Linked DNA regions of Macaca mulatta. The protein of the gene in region 2 interacts with the protein of the main gene of each other region in a biochemical or structural test. Links are inferred from orthologs where the notes say so. Each region holds a gene or a part of one and is shown on either strand. Other genes may lie near its edges.

Region 1 (7,620 bases), on a different chromosome or scaffold from region 2:
ACTCCAGCCTGGGTGACAGAGCAAGACTCTGTCTCAGAAAAAAACAAAAAAAACAAAAAAAAACACTTATGAAATTTGAGAAGAAACAAGTGTCACTCACGGGGAATAAGGGTGAGTCCTAGGGGCAATTGAGCGCTGGCTTCCTCCCTGCAGTACTTCTTGTGGTGACATCATCACAAAGAATTGACCTGTGAAGATGCAGGGTAGGTTCTGTCAGGACATGGGTAGGAACCTCACCAAGCCCTGAGGTGAAGACCCTGGGCCCCTCCTCTAAAAAGAACATGTTAATAGAAGAGCAGCCCCGGACTCACTGCCTGCCCAGATCTTAATGATCACTAAGAGTCATGAGTGAAGGCTCACTGCCTACCAGTCATGTCTCACAGCCTATTCTAGCCCTTTCAGCCAGCATCCTCATGCAGTATCTCACCAGTGCCAGGAGGGGTCGCCTGCCCCAGCAGTGCCTCTGAGCCCTGGGTAGTAACAACAGCAGCTGTACTCCCCGATGTGGTACCCCCTGCCCCATCTCCCACTGCCGTGCTGGGGAAGTAAGTATAGTGCGTCTCAGCAGCTGTCCCCTCCGTGTCAACTGCATCATCACTGGTGAAAGCACCCTGGATCACCGCCTGAGAGAGAGAGAGAGAGAGAGAAACATCCAGGAAAGGAGAGCCTAGTGCTTTGGGACAAGGCAGCCCTAGACGCCTCACTGTTCCTAGCTTCACCCCCATCCTACTAATACCCTTCTTCATCTTACTTCTCAGAACTCTAGTCACCTCCCCAGCCCATACCCTGTACCTGGGTCATGGATTGAGTGGCAGGGTAGCCACTGATGGCACCAGTTCCCTCAGTTTGGCCATCCAGCTGCCCCTCAGACACCTGGATCACCCTGTACATCACCTAGAAGTGTAGAGGAAGGCAGAGCAAGGGAAAGAGAGAATAAAAGATTAAGTGTTGGGAATCCTAGGGCCCCTCATAAAGCTTCCCTTGGATAGGGCCCCAAAACAAAGTCCTTCAGAGACACGGATTGAGCCATTCTCCCTTCTCTCCCCACACAGAGGTTTCAGCATACACCTAACCTCACACCAGTCTCTACTCCAGTATCAGCACCCCCCTCCCCTGAAACAGTCCACTCTTTCAACTCATCCTCCAAGCCAGGTCTCCCCAAGACATGTTCAATTACCTCCCTCAATCCCAATCCCAAATAACACCTGCAGCCACCTGGCCCCCTCCCTTACCTGGCCCCCATTCTCAGTTCGGAAGACGTACTTGACGTTGGGGTCAGGGAAGGTGGCAGCTGACTGGATGCTGGCAATAGCCACACTGGTTGGGTCTTCCCCAGTAGCCACTGCACCTGAATTAAAAGAACAAAAGAAAAGTCTGTGAGTTAACTGCCTTTCTATCCCCGTTCCACGTGCATGTCACTGAAGGAGGAGGATGCACAGGAGATGGTCTGGTGGGGGAGGAAGGGAGGCCATGATGGGTTCTTAGTCTTGGTTCCGTCTCTAGCACTCACCTTCCTGAATCTGCACTGTCCCCTCTTCCGTTTCAGCTGTTTTCTGCTGCCTGTTTGTGGTGAAAGGACAAAAGGAAGAGTATGGGAAGAAGTCAATGAGAAGCTCACCGGCCCAGTAACATATGGCTGCAAACTCATTGGCATTCCCAACAGAAGCTGAGTTAGGTTAGAATAACAACTAGTGTTTGCTGTTTACTATGTACATAAGCACTAAGCTAAGTACATCACATGTACTCTTATTTAATATTAAAAACAACACCATGAGATAGATAGCACTACTTCCATTTTATAGATGAAGAAACCAAATCACACAGTAAGTGATAGAGTAGAACCTGAATCCAGGTCTGCCTGACTCCAGAGGCAGTGCTCTTGGCCATTTTGCATTCTTCCAGGCCACCCATCTTTCATCCCAGACCCTACCCCTTCTTCACTCACCCCTTCATCTCTCTGTGAGGGGGCACATCCGAGGAACTGGTCCTTTTTTGGAAGTCTTTGTATCTCCTATTCACAGGCCTGAGTGCTAAGTCCTGGTAGAAATCATGAAGTTTGCAGTGAGTCTAGGAAACAGAACAGTATCTCCGGTTCTAGAACTTAGGTTCCATGAACACACAGCCAGGAAAATAACCCAGTCATCTGCAGGGGACAATCAGCCTCCACCATACTGATGTTGAGGACTGGCCTACAGTGATTGAAAAAGCAACTCTACAAATAGTGTTCCTTGTCCCTCCATTATCACTCCAACTCCTGGTAGAGAGGGGATAATTATACTGGAAGACAGAAACAACGCTTTTTTTCGAGACAGAGTCTCGCTCTGTCACCCAGGCTGGAGTGTAGTGGCGCGATCTCAGCTCACTGCAACCTCTGTCTCCCGGGTTCAAGTGATTCTCCTGCCTCAGCCTCTCAAGTAGCTGGGATTACAGGTGCACACCACCACGCCTGGCTAATATTTGTATTTTTAGTAGAGACGGGGTTTCTACTAAACCATGTTGGCCCGGCTGGTCTCGAACTCCTGACCTCGTGATCTATCCGCCTCGGCCTCCCAAAGTGCTGGGATTACAGGTGTGAGCCACCGCACCTGGCTGAAACAACACATTTTTTTTTTTTTTTTTTTTTGAGACAGTCTTGCTCTGTTGCCCAGGCTGGAGTGCAGTGGCACAATCTCAGCTTACAACCTCCGTCTCCTGGGTTCAAGCAATTCTCCTGCCTCAGCCTCCTGAATAACTGGGATTATACGCGCCCACCACCATGCCCGGCTAATTTTTGTATTTTTCAGTAGAGATGGGGTTTCACCATGTTGGCCAGGTTGGTCTGGAACTCCTGACTTCAGGTGATCCACCTGCCTCAGCCTCCCAAAGTGCTGGGATTACAGGCATGAGCCACCGCACCCAGCCAACAACACATTTCTAAATGGATCACTATTAAAGCTATTATGACCTGCCATGATGGCAGCCTCATGGGAATCAGGAAGGGCCATGTATTGGCCCCACCATCAAAAAATACCGTGTCATGGACACCGATACTTCTTCCAGTTTCTCAGCCACATATTGTCCACCAAGACATTTCTGTTCTCAAACCTAGGAAGAGGAAATCTCAAGCCCACTACCACTGGAAGAATGTCCCTGACCACAAAGACTAGACTTGGCCTTTGGGCCCCATTCTACTGACAGGATTCTTGTTTTGGGGTATTCCGATTTATATAATCTGTTAGAAACCCTAAAGCCCAAGTGGATCCTCTTCAAGCACCCTCTATTTTATTCATCAAGCCTTCCTGTAGAACAACACAGTTGCTAAAATGTTGCTATGACAACTCCAAATCAACTGAGCCTCAGCAAGAAGGGGTAAAAAAAAAAAAAAAAAAAAAAAAACAAAAACAGGGTTCTAAAGAAGAGACAAAGGGGGAAGAATCCACCTACAAGCTCTGCCTTAGGACCCTGACACCCAGCCAGAGGGCAGGAAAAACAAAGAGCTGGGCAGACATGCCTCCAGAAAGAAACAGCTACACAGTACAAAGCAGTAAGATAATCCCAACACAAAAGGGGCAAGATTTTTAGAAATTCTCTACCCATAAGGTCCTCCAGACCTTTCCTATCCAAGGAAAATTTTCAGTGGATAAGCCTTGGAAAGACCGCGTCCGAGGAAAATGTTGAAAAAGGAACTGAAAGTGAAACCGTCCAGAGGAAGTAACGCTGCAAGGAGATCCCAGTCGATAAGGGGAAGTAACACTAGTGTTTTGGGACCACCTACATTTCCATCTTCAAACCTGAAGAGGAAATGCCCTGCGAAGCTTGCCGCGCTGACTGCAGGGGAAGGCAATGAAATAGAGGGCCCGGCACAGGAGGCATCTCTATTGGCCACAGCTGTCAGCCGGGGCAGTCTCTGAGGACACCCAGCAACGGGGTCAGGGTACTTATTCAAATCTTAGTTGGACATCCGGAAGCATTTCCTAGGCATTAGGGATCTGTGACACGGAAACTGGAATGGGACGTTGTGGTGGGCACGCTCAGGCCAGAAGGGCCCAGTAAGAGCCCTTGCTAAGTCTGGACACAAAGGGAAAAAAATCTACTCCCGAAAGAAGTCAGGCGCCTAGACCTTGCCTGAGAATGAGGCGTCTCCCTGCAGGCTCTCCAACCAGAAGGCGCTTAAGGAGCTGAGCGCCCGCCAGGCGCGAGCCCGGGAGCCTGCGCCGTGACCCGCAGCCCCGCAGTCTAGCCCCGCGCCCCAGCTGCTCCGCAGAGGAGGCAGGAAAGGACATCGGGGACTAGGGGGCTCAGGCGCCCGGTGCCGGCGGCTGCGGCCCGCAGCTGGACAGCGCAGGAGGGCTGGGACGCTCGCGCTCGGGGGCAGGGAGTTTGGCCCACAAAGCAGGGTAGAAGATAAAGAACCAGCACAACACCCCCCCCCCCAGCCCAAAACAAAGGCTTCCTCCCCAGCAGTGTTCTCTAACCAGAAAAAAGGAAACAAAATCAAACCTGCCCTGCCTTGCCAGTCCACCCAGTTTCCAGACTTCTGCCCGGTCCTACACTCACCGGCCAAGGCCGTCTCAGCCGCCGATTTTCTCCAACTGTGTTCTCCCTCTCCCGACCTAGGTAGCTCCATAGACAGCTGCTCATGCGCACTTGCAGCCCGCAGCCATGTTGGTGAGGGGCGGAAGTGTCGCTCTCGGCCCGCCCACAAACTCAAACTCAGAGCCGCCCCACTTCCGCTCACTCCATCTTGATGAGAGCTGATGTTTGTGGGTTTTCTGTGAAGTCGGGAAGAAGCAGTGTCCTGGAGTATGTAGCTGAAGCCCTGGCCACTTTAGACAAGAACGGGAAAGAGACGACTAACTTGTACTGACATCTTAGCGCTGGCAGGGCATTTTTTCATTCCAGGAAAAAAGAGAGAGAATCCAGCTGAGATGAAGGGAGGGACGTCTGACGGAGGCGCCATCTTTAACAAGGGCTATTTGGGAGGCCATCTTGGCTCAGGGCGTCTTTTTGAAAGATTACCTACCTGCTAGAGATTACGACCTATCAGGGCATGCATAGAACTGGGTATGTTCCTTGTTATTCTCGTCGGCAGTCACTAACCCGAAGACCCCAAAGCTTCTAGTTTTCTAAAGGCTCACACTTTCTGTGACAGGAATCTTGATTCCTGTTCTTCTCAATCAAGACCTACCCTGAATGGATTTGGAGTAGTGTGGTATAATGGGAAGAATTCAAACTTGGGGACGAGGCAGATCCAGGTTTCAAACCCATCTCTGCCACTTCTTACCTCTGAGACCTTTGGCAAACATTTTGACTTAATTGAGCCTTAGTTTCCTCATCTATAAACTGGAGATACTAGCACCAACCTTCCAGACTTATGTGGATTAAATAAAATCAAGGACACAGATTTTATGAGCACAGGATACTTAGTCCAGTTCCTGGCACATAATGAGCATTATGTAAATATAAGTTTCTCTTCCTTATTTCGTGACCACCATGAACCTAGCTCTAGTTTCTAGCCACTAGTCTCCATGACAACAACTGAGGAAGAGCACCCAAACAACAAGAAGAAAAAGAATGTTTTGCCAAATATATGAAGATATAATAGCTATCACCAAAGACTTTAATAAGAGTAATGAGACTCCACACTACGTGTAAAAATACAGCTTTTATTCTGAGACATTGACCTTCACTAGAGTGGGACCTATGGCCCCAACCTGGCTGGAGAAGCAGTCCCAGGGCCTGAGTGACACCATTTCCCTTTCCTGAAATAGGAAGAAGTTATTCTAAAGGAAAAACGAGAGCCCAGAGACATCTGTACAGGATCTCTCTTGCACATGGTGACTGGAGGCAGAGGGTGGGCAGCTGGAGAGGAGTCCAGTCCCTCCAACAAATACTGAGGGTTTCAAAGAGCTTCCTGAACGTTTCTCTTAATCTGGATCTAAAAAGGACAGGAGGTATCTAAGGGTCCAAGAGCAGAACAGGAATGGGCAACTCTAGAAGTGTTTGTGTATGGAAGGCCCTAACCTGGCCCTGTCCCCCGTCTCTACCTTTGGCTTTCATGAAGAGAGATTCATAGCTCAGAGGAAGGGAGGAACTTCTCCAGTCTTCACTTTAAGAAACTCTTTTAACTTTTCTGCCTACCTTATGTTCCCTTTGGCCAGTAACCCACTCCCTGGGAACAAGATCTTGTTGACTTTCTTGGGAATCTCCTAAGAGATAAGTGCTTTCTGTCTGAGACACGGCAGTGCCTCCCACAGTCAGAGAAGCTGGAGGGCCAAAGCCTATAGAGTTGGGCACTACAGCTGCCTAGACTGCAGAAGAGACAGCTAGTCAGGAACCCTGGAGATTCAAGACAACTTACTGGTCCCCTTTGCCCAGGGCTGTGGTCCTAATCACAGTCCCTCACCTTTCTCAGGGTTAGCCTGTGTTTCAAATGCATACGATCGGCGCTGAGGGGACAACAGGGTGTCAGGAACCTGGGGTTCTCTGGGGGGCAGACTAAGACGACTCCGGGATCCAGACCCTTCCGTGCCTTCAGGTGGGATCTCCAGGCAGCTAAGGGGCCGAGGAGAATGGGCAGAGATCATGCTACAAGGGGAGTTTCTGGGGATGAGGCAGTAATCCCCACCCTCAGTACAGGTCTGGGTTCGCCGAACTCCCTGAGCCTCAGTCCTTTGGCGGTCCCGGGCTAGGGCCACAGCAGCATCAAAAGAAAGACTACCCCCATTCCTCCAAGAGGATCGAGAAGCTCGGGCCCCCCAAGCCCTTTCTCCAGGAGTCGCATCAAGCCGGCCAGGCCTCGGGCTTGGATTTGCAGGTGCCACATGAATCTTGCTACACATTGCACTGGGCATCTTGGCAAACTGTGGCTTGGGGGGCACCACAGGCACAGAGCGGACCTGTTGGACCTGAACCAGAGTAGAAGCTAGACGCATGCCCACGCCACCCAAGCCAAGGGAACAGGGACATAGACAGCCATCTGAACTGGGCTGCCCCTCAGACTCCTTCTCCTCTGACTGGGGTGGCTGTGGGGCTGCCTCTTCCATCTCAGAAGAGTGAGGATTGCCCTCTTTGGCACAGTCAACCTCCAGGGACTCTACACCTGAGCCTTCAGAGAGGGTACCCTCTTCTAAATAGTCCCCTCCAGCCCTCTGGTCTCCCTCAGCCTCTCCATCCCCACTCTCCCGTTCCTTGCTGACCTCCCCTGCTCCTCCTTCAGTTGCTGCTTCTGGGCTTCTGCTGTCTTCACCATCTCCTTGGTCTTTTCTTGCTTCATACTCTCCCTTCCCCCTCTGTCCTTTGTCCTCATCCTCTCTGACTCCCTCGGCCTCTTGTTTGTGTACAACTTCCCATTTCTCCTCAGCAACTTGATCTTCCTGGGCCCCTTGCTCTAGGTCCCTTTCAGCTTCTACCTGGGCTTCCTTTCTTTGTTCAGCCTCTTTTCTCTCAATTTCTTTTTCCTTCTCCTCATCTGTATACTGCTCTTCTGGTTCCTCCACACTTTTAGCCTCCATACTGTCAGCCTTTTTCTGACCTTTGGACTTCTCTTCCTTGGCCTCTGTCTCTTCACTACTCCCTTCTCTCAATCTGACCTTTGTCTCTTGGCTTCCCCCAGCCTCCCCTGTATCCTCACTGGCCTTT
Region 2 (7,785 bases):
TACTAAAAATACAAAAACAAAATTAGCTGGGCATGGTGGCAGGCACCTGTAGTCCCAGCTACTCAGGAGGCTGAGGCAGGAGAATGGTGTGAACCTGGGAGGCGGAGCTTGCAGTGAGCTGAGACTGTGCCACTGCACTCCAGCCTGGGCGACAGAGCGAGACTCCGTCTCAAATAAAAAGAAAAATAATACAAAAATTAGCTGAGCTGGGTGGTGCGTGCCCACAATCCCAGCTAACTCGGGAGGCTGAGGGAAGAGAATCACTTGAACCCAGGTAGCAGAGGTTGCAGTGAGCTGAGATCGTGCCATTGCACTCCAGCCTGGGCAAGAAGAGCAAAACTCAATCTCAAAAAAAAAAAAATCACATTCATAGCTGAGCACAGTGGCTCATCCCTGTAATCCCAGCACTTTGGGAGGCTGAGGTGGGCAGATCACTTGAGCCTAGGAGTTCCAGACCAGCCTGGGCAACATGGCAAGACCCTGTCTCTACAAAAAAATACAAAAATTAGCTGGGCATGGTGGTGTGCACCTGTAGTCCCAGCTACTTAGGAGGCTGAGGTGGGAGGATCACTTGAGACCAAGAGGTAGAGGCTACAGTGAGCAGTGACTATACCCCTGCACTCTAGCCTGGGTGACAGAGCCAGACACTGTCTCCAAAAAAACAAAACAAAACAAAACAAAAAATAGAAAAATTAAAATAATATTCATCTTATTTTGTTTTTTAAAAATTCATTCATCCTAGGATGGGCACGGTGGCTCATGCCTGTAATCCCAGCACTTTGAGAGGCTGAGGCAGGAGGATCACCTGAGGTCAGGAGTTCGAGACCAGCCTGACCAACATGGAGAAACCCTGTCTGTACTAATAATACAAAATTAGCCAGGCGTGTTGGCACATGCCTGTAATCCCAGCTACTCGGGAGGCTGAGGCAGGAGAACCACTTGAACCTAAGAGGTGGAGGTTGTGGTGAGCTGAGACTGCGCCACTATACTCCAGCCTGGGCAATAAGAGCGAGACTCCGTCTTTAAAAAAAAAAAAATTAGGCCGGGCGCGGTGGCTCAAGCCTGTAATCCCAGCACTTTGGGAGGCCGAGACGGGCGGATCACAAGGTCAGGAGATCGAGACCATCCTGGCTAACACGGCGAAACCCCGTCTCTACTAAAAACACAAAAAATTAGCCGGGCGAGGTGGCGGCGCCTGTGGTCCCAGCTACTCGGGAGGCTGAGGCAGGAGAATGGCGGGAACCCGGGAGGCGGAGCTTGCAGTGAGCTGAGATCTGGCCACTGCACTCCAGCCTGGGCGACAGAGCGAGACTCCGTCTCAAAAAAAAAAAAAAAAAAAAAAAAAAAAAAAAAAAAAAATTAGCCAGGTGTGGTGGTGCACACCTGTAGTCCCCGCTACTCGATAGGGGGCTGAGGCAGGAGAATTGCTTCATCCTGGGAGGTGGATGTTGCAGTGAGCCGAGATCATGCCATTGCACTCCAGCTTGGGCAACAGAGTGAGACTTCGTCTCAAAATAAATAAATAAATAAATACACATGTACATAAATAAATAAACAATTCACCCATCCTTTACTTTTCATTGTAAATGCTACCTTCTTTCTTTCTTCTTTTTCTTTCTTTCTTTCTTTTCTTTTCTTTTTTTTTTGAGATGGACTCTTGCTCTATTGCCCAGGTTGGAGTGCAGTGGCACTATCTCGGCTCACTGCAAGCTCCGCCTCACGGTTACACGCCGTTCTCCTGCCTCAGCCTCCTGAGTAGCTGGGAATACAGGTGCCCGCCACCATACCTGGCTGATTTTTTGTATTTTTAGTAGAGACAGGGTTTCACCATGTTAGCCAGGATGGTCTTGATCTGCTGACCTTATGATCCGCCCATCTCGTCCTCCCAAAGCGCTGGGATTACAGGCGTGAGCCACTGTGCCCAGCTGCAAATGCTACTTTCTCCATGAAAAATTGTCTGCTTTGTGTGTAGCTTTCTTGTGCCATCTTGACACATTTACCTGAGTGCATATTGTATTTGATTCATTTGTCATATCTGCTTGAATCAGATGGTTATTACTGGTGAATGGACAACAGTAGTTAAGAATTCAGGCTTTGGATCCGAGCAGGTTTAGACCAAAATCTGATTGTGCCATCTGTGTATCCCAGGCTGAGTACTGAGCCTTTCTGAGCCTCTTTAGCATGGGAGTGGAGGGGCATTCGGTGCACTTGCCACAGAGGCAGCAAGCAATGAGATAATCTATTAAGTGTCGAGCCTGGTGCGTGGCTCTGAAGGACTGCTCAATACATGTGAGCCATGATCACACATTTCTGGAGGGCACAGATGGTCTTGCAGGCTTTCCAGAATATAGTAGGTGTTCAGATTCTTTCCTGATACTCATTGGTGCCCCTCACTTCCTTCCATTATCCGGGTCAGACTGAGTTCATCTGGGATTGGAAAACACAGCAGGCTGGTATGAATGAAGTCAGCCTACAGCCCCAGGTACAAGCCAGAGCTTGGTCAGCCCCCTCCCTAGGTTTAGGGGGAAGGGAATGGATAATTAACACCTTCTCACTGCTGGGAAAACAATGAAAAGTACTTGTTACACTGATAATGGGTTAATTTCTTTTTCTCTTTTCTTTTTTTCAGACAGTTTCACTCTGTTGCCCAGGCTGGAGTGCAGTGGCATGATCTCAGCTCACTGCAACCTCCACCTCCCGGGTTTAGGCGATTCTCCTGCCTCAGCCTCCCAAGTAACTGGGATTACAGGCACCTGCCACCATGCCCGGCTAATTATTGTATTTCTAGTAAAGACGGGGTTTCACCATGTTGGCCAGGCTGGTCTTGAACTCCTGACCTCAGATGATCCAGCCGCCTTGGCCTCCCAAAGCGCTGGGATTACAGGTGCGAACCACCGCGCCCAGCCAGATGGTGGGTTAATTTCACTTTGAACAGCATCGTTCTGATTGGCTTTCCCTCCCCCTTCCAACCCATTGTTCAAAAATTCCCTTTATTCTTTGATGAAAACTTCCCCAAGTGGGTCATCTACCTTAAGTATACTAAACACCAGGTCTTGAAGGGGTTAAAAAAGGCTGCTATGATTCACCAGAAAAAGAGGAAAGGCTTGGTAAACGCAATGCTAAAGAATCAAGAAACTGGTGGTTAAGTCCACGGTGGAAACAAAAAGAGAAAAGGAAGGATGCAGGTATTTGTTGTCAGCATTTAACCTAGATTTTTCATCTCTTGATTTTATGATTATGTTGCAAGGCTATAGGTTGTCTCTATTATATATATCTATAGATATAGTCATATGGAATTGTTCTAACATCTATAACAATATACTGTAATAAAAGTTATGTGACTATGGTCTGTCTCCGTCTCTCTCTCAAAAATATCTTCTTGTACTGAACATAGCTATTTTTGGACCGCGGTTGACCGTGGGTAACTGAAACTGCAGAAAGCGAAACTGCAGATAAGAGGGGGAACTACGGTAGACGCCTCCCACCCGTTAGTCACTTGGGAGCCGTCTGGGTTATCAGATCGACTGTCTGCAAGTATTGCAGTGTTTGTGTTCAAGTCACCCTTTTCTTTTTTTTTTTTTTGAGACGGAGTCTCGCTCTGTCACCCAGGCTGGAGTGCGGTGGCCGGATCTCAGCTCACTGCAAGCTCCGCCTCCCGGGTTCACGCCATTCTCCTGCCTCAGCCTCCCGAGTAGCTGGGACTATAGGCGCCCGCCACCTCGCCCGGCTAGTTTTTTGTATTTTTCAGTAGAGACGGGGTTTCACCGTGTTAGCCAGGATGGTCTCGATCTCCTGACCTCGTGATCCGCCCGTCTCGGCCTCCCAAAGTGCTGGGATTACAGGCGTGAGCCACCACGCCCGGCCAAGTCACCCTTATTTTCTATCATAATGGCCCCAAAGCACAAGAGTAGTGATGCTGGGAATTTGGACAGGCCAAAGAGAAGCCGTAAAGTGCTCCCTCTAAGTGAAAAGGTGAAAGTTCTCGACTTAATCAGGAAAGAAAAAAAATCCTATGCTGAGGTTGCTAAGATCTACGGGAAGAATGAATCTTCCATCCGTGAAATTGTGAAGAAGGAAAAAGAAATTCGTGCTAGTTTTGCTGTCTCACCTCCAACTGCTAAAGTGACGGCCACGGTGCGTGATAAGTGCTTAGTTAAGATGGAACAGGCACTGCATTTGTGGGTGGAAGAGATGAACAGAAAACGTGTTCCCATTGACAGCAACGTGTTGTGCCAGAAAGCCTTGAGCCTATACCAAGACTTCAGCAAGGGATGCTCTGAAACTGACACCAAGCCATTTACTGCGAGTAAGGGATGGTTACACAGATTCAGGCATAGATTCTCACATCATTACAAGAAGAAGAAGAAGGGTGAGTACAGTACAAGTTATTTTGAGAGAGAGAGAGAGAGATCACATTCACCTCAGTACTTGCTATACTTGTTCCATTTTGTTATCATTGCTGTTAACTTCTTCCTGTGCCTAGTTGGATTTGGTATTATCCAAGGTTTCAGGCATCCACTGGCAGTCTCGGAATGTGTCCCCCACAGAAACAGGGGACTACTGTATTCACTCTCTCTCTCTCTTTTTAAATTTTTATTGTAGGTTCATGGGTACATATGCAGGTTTATTATACAGGTAAACTCGTGTCACCGGGGTTTGTTGTACAGATTATTTTGCCACCCGCGTACTAAGCCTATCCAATAGTTATTTTTTTTCTGCTCCTCATCCTTCTCCCACTGAGGCGGGCGGATCACCTGAGGTTGGGAGTTCGAGATCAGCCTGACCAACATGGAGAAACCCCGTCTCTACTAAAAATACAAAATTAGCCAGGCATGGTGGCGCATGGCTGTAATCCCAGCTACTCGGGAGGCTGAGGCAGGAGAATTGCTTGAACCCAGGAGGCAAAGGTTGCAGTAAGCCGAGATCGCGCCATTGCACTCCAGCCTGGGCAACAAGAGCGAAACTCTGTCTCAAAAAAAAAAAGAAAAGAAAAGAAAAGAAAAGAAACATGGAACATGGACTTTTTTCATATTTTTAAAAAGTTTTGAATGCTAAATAATACCATCTAATATTTATATAACACGTACCCAAGTTCATAAAGTATTTTCATCTACGTATCATCTGATTTCCCCAAATCCCTGAAGGAGGCAGAGAAAATACTATAGAGGTTTTATTTTTAACAACTTAAATTTAGAGCTTTATATTTAAAAACTTAAATTTAAAAACTTTAAAAAACGACAATGTTAACATAATCCTAAATAGCAGATAAAATTCATCTAAATCCTGCTACCCCAACAAAGAAAACTGTTTATTTCAACTGGTGCAACATGAATATTCGTTTTACTGTGTCGGCCAGATGCTCACACAAAAGGCAGAGCTAGAGCTGGAAGGTCTATTTAGATCACATCTACATTATTAATTGTTATGAATAAATTATAACTTGGATTTAGGTTTTTTTTTTTCCACCTTTGGATGAATTCTAAGAACCATACATACTGGAAAAGATAGTCATTCATTCAGGATTCAAATTATTCAAACAAAAAACCGTTCAAAAACAGTGTTTTATAATCAGTATTAAAAAATATCATTGTGGTTGGATATGCTGGCTCATGCCTGTAATCCCAGCACTTTGGGAGGCCGAGGCGGGCAGATTATGAGGTCAGGAGTTCAAGACCAGCTTGACCAACATGGTGAAACCCTGTCTCTACTAAAAATACAAAAATTAGCTGAGTCTGGTGGCACACGCCTATAATCCTAGCTACTCGGAAGACTGAGACAGGAGAATCACTTGAACCCGGGAGCCAAGATTGCGCCATTGCACTCCAGCCTGGGCAACAGAGTGAGACTCAGTCTCAAAAAAAAAAGTATCATTGTAAGAACAAAGGAGTTATCTGCTAGAGTGTAGATACACATGTGACAGCCAAAGAGGTCTTGTGACCCTACTGAAGTGATCCGGGCAGGATTGTGCAAATCATAAATTGGAACAATGTCTACAGGATCAAAGTATTATCTTACAAATGATATTTTACATTCTGTTCTCAATATAAAGAATGTATAGTGTACTATGTACATTGTAAAGAAAAACCAAGAAATTGGACTTAGAAGATATTGGGCCTGTATCAATCAGAGTTCAACGAAAAAGACCTCTGGTATTCATCAAAAGTCATGCTCTGCTGTGGAATACAGATCTGTCAAGAGTATCTGGGCCAGGCCTGGTGGCTCACACCTGTAATCCCAGCACTTTGGGAGGCTGAGGTAGGCGGATCTCTTGAGCCCAGGAGTCCAAGACCAGCCTGGGCAACACGGTGAAACCCTGTCTCTACTAAAAATACAAAAAATTAGCTGAGTGTGGTGGTGTGCACCTGTAGTCCCAGCCATTTGGGAGGCTGAAGTGGGAGGACTGTTTGAGCCTGGGAGTTTGAGGCTGCAGTGAACCGAGATCTCGCCACTCTACGCCAGCCTGGACAACTGGAGTGAGAGATCCTGTCTCAAAACAAAAAGCAGAAAACAGAAAAACAGAGTATCTGAACTTTCACCAGAATTATGGTTTTGGGCAATCTGAAATATATGACTGAGGGCTGGGCACAGTGGCTGAAATGCAGTGGCAGCACTTTGGGAGTCCGAGGTGGATGGATCACCTGGGGTTAGGAGTTTGAGACCAGCCTGGCCAATATGACCAACATGGTGAAACCCCGTTTCTACTAAAAATCCAAAAATTAACCAGGTGTGGTGGTATGCACCTATAATCCCAGCTACTCGAGGGCCTGAGGCAGGAGAACCGCTTGAACCTGGGAGGTGGAGGTTGTGGTGAGCGGAGCTTGTGCCACCTCACTCCAGCCTGTGCGGCAGAGTAAGACTCTGTCAAAAATAATAATAATAAATAAATAAATAAATAAATAAAATAGAATGTATGAGAGAGGGTGGGTACAAGTGCTCATGCCTGTAATCATAGCACTTTGGAAGGCTGAGGCAGGAGGATTGCTTGAAGCCAGGAGTTTGGAACCAGCCCGGTCAACACAGCAAGACTCCATCTCTACCAAAAAACAATGATATAACAGAGTCACCAAAAGATTATTCAGTTTGGATTCAAAAGAGCATCTTTAAAAAGAGTGTATGATCCCAATAACAGAGATCTCAACAAAGTGGCATAACCATCATTCAGTCACCATGGGCTTTCAGGGGTTCCTTTCCAGGGTCCCATGATCACATGCTATTTCTTTTTCTTTTTTCTTTTTTTTTGTTTTTGAGACAGAGTCTCGCTCTGTCACCCAGGCTGGAGTACAGTGGCGTGATCTTGGCCCACTGCAAGCTCCGCCTCCTGGGTTCATGCCATTCTCCTGCCTCAGCCTCCTGAGTAGCTGGGACTGCAGGCGCCCGCCACCACGCCTGGCTAATTTTTTATATTTTTAGTAGAGATGGGGTTTCACCATGTTAGCCAGGATGGTCTCGATCTCCTGACCTCGTGATCCGCCCGCCTCAGCCTCCCAAAGTGCTGGGATTACAGGTGTGAGCCACCACGCCTGGCAACATGCTATTTCTTTTTTCTTTTCTTTCCTTTTTTTTTTTTTTTTTTGTTTTTGAGACGGAGTCTCGCTCTGTCGCCCAGGCTGGAGTGCAGTGGCGCGATCTCAGCTCACTGCAAGCTCCGCCCCCCGGGTTCCCGCCATTCTCCTGCCTCAGCCTCCCGAGTAGCTGGGACTACAGGTGCCCGCCACCACGCCCGGCTAATTTTTTTTTTGTATTTTTAGTAGAGACGGGGTTTCACTGTGTTAGCCAGGATGGTCT

Evidence for each region. The genes of interacting proteins can lie anywhere in the genome.
Region 1: the proteins of GTF2I (region 2) and USF1 form a complex in vitro, tested with the Homo sapiens proteins (2 studies listed by BioGRID). The link is inferred for Macaca mulatta from reciprocal best matches to the Homo sapiens genes GTF2I and USF1.

Annotation. Positions count from the first base shown.
Region 1 is NC_133406.1:105,834,615-105,842,234, reverse strand, and holds the start of USF1 (upstream stimulatory factor 1), read right to left. Parts: upstream 4,663-7,620; 5' UTR 4,621-4,662; coding exon 4,480-4,620; intron 3,665-4,479; exon of another isoform or gene 3,591-3,664; intron 2,068-3,590; coding exon 1,946-2,067; intron 1,561-1,945; coding exon 1,511-1,560; intron 1,349-1,510; coding exon 1,233-1,348; intron 895-1,232; coding exon 793-894; intron 624-792; coding exon 428-623; intron 189-427; coding exon 101-188; intron 1-100. Other genes in the region: ARHGAP30 (rho GTPase-activating protein 30), read right to left, coding at 6,372-7,620.
Region 2 is NC_133408.1:52,146,227-52,154,011, forward strand, and holds the start of GTF2I (general transcription factor II-I), read left to right. Parts: upstream 1-3,458; 5' UTR 3,459-3,888; coding exon 3,889-4,369; intron 4,370-6,459; exon of another isoform or gene 6,460-6,516; intron 6,517-7,785. UniProt on the Homo sapiens protein: Interacts with the basal transcription machinery by coordinating the formation of a multiprotein complex at the C-FOS promoter, and linking specific signal responsive activator complexes.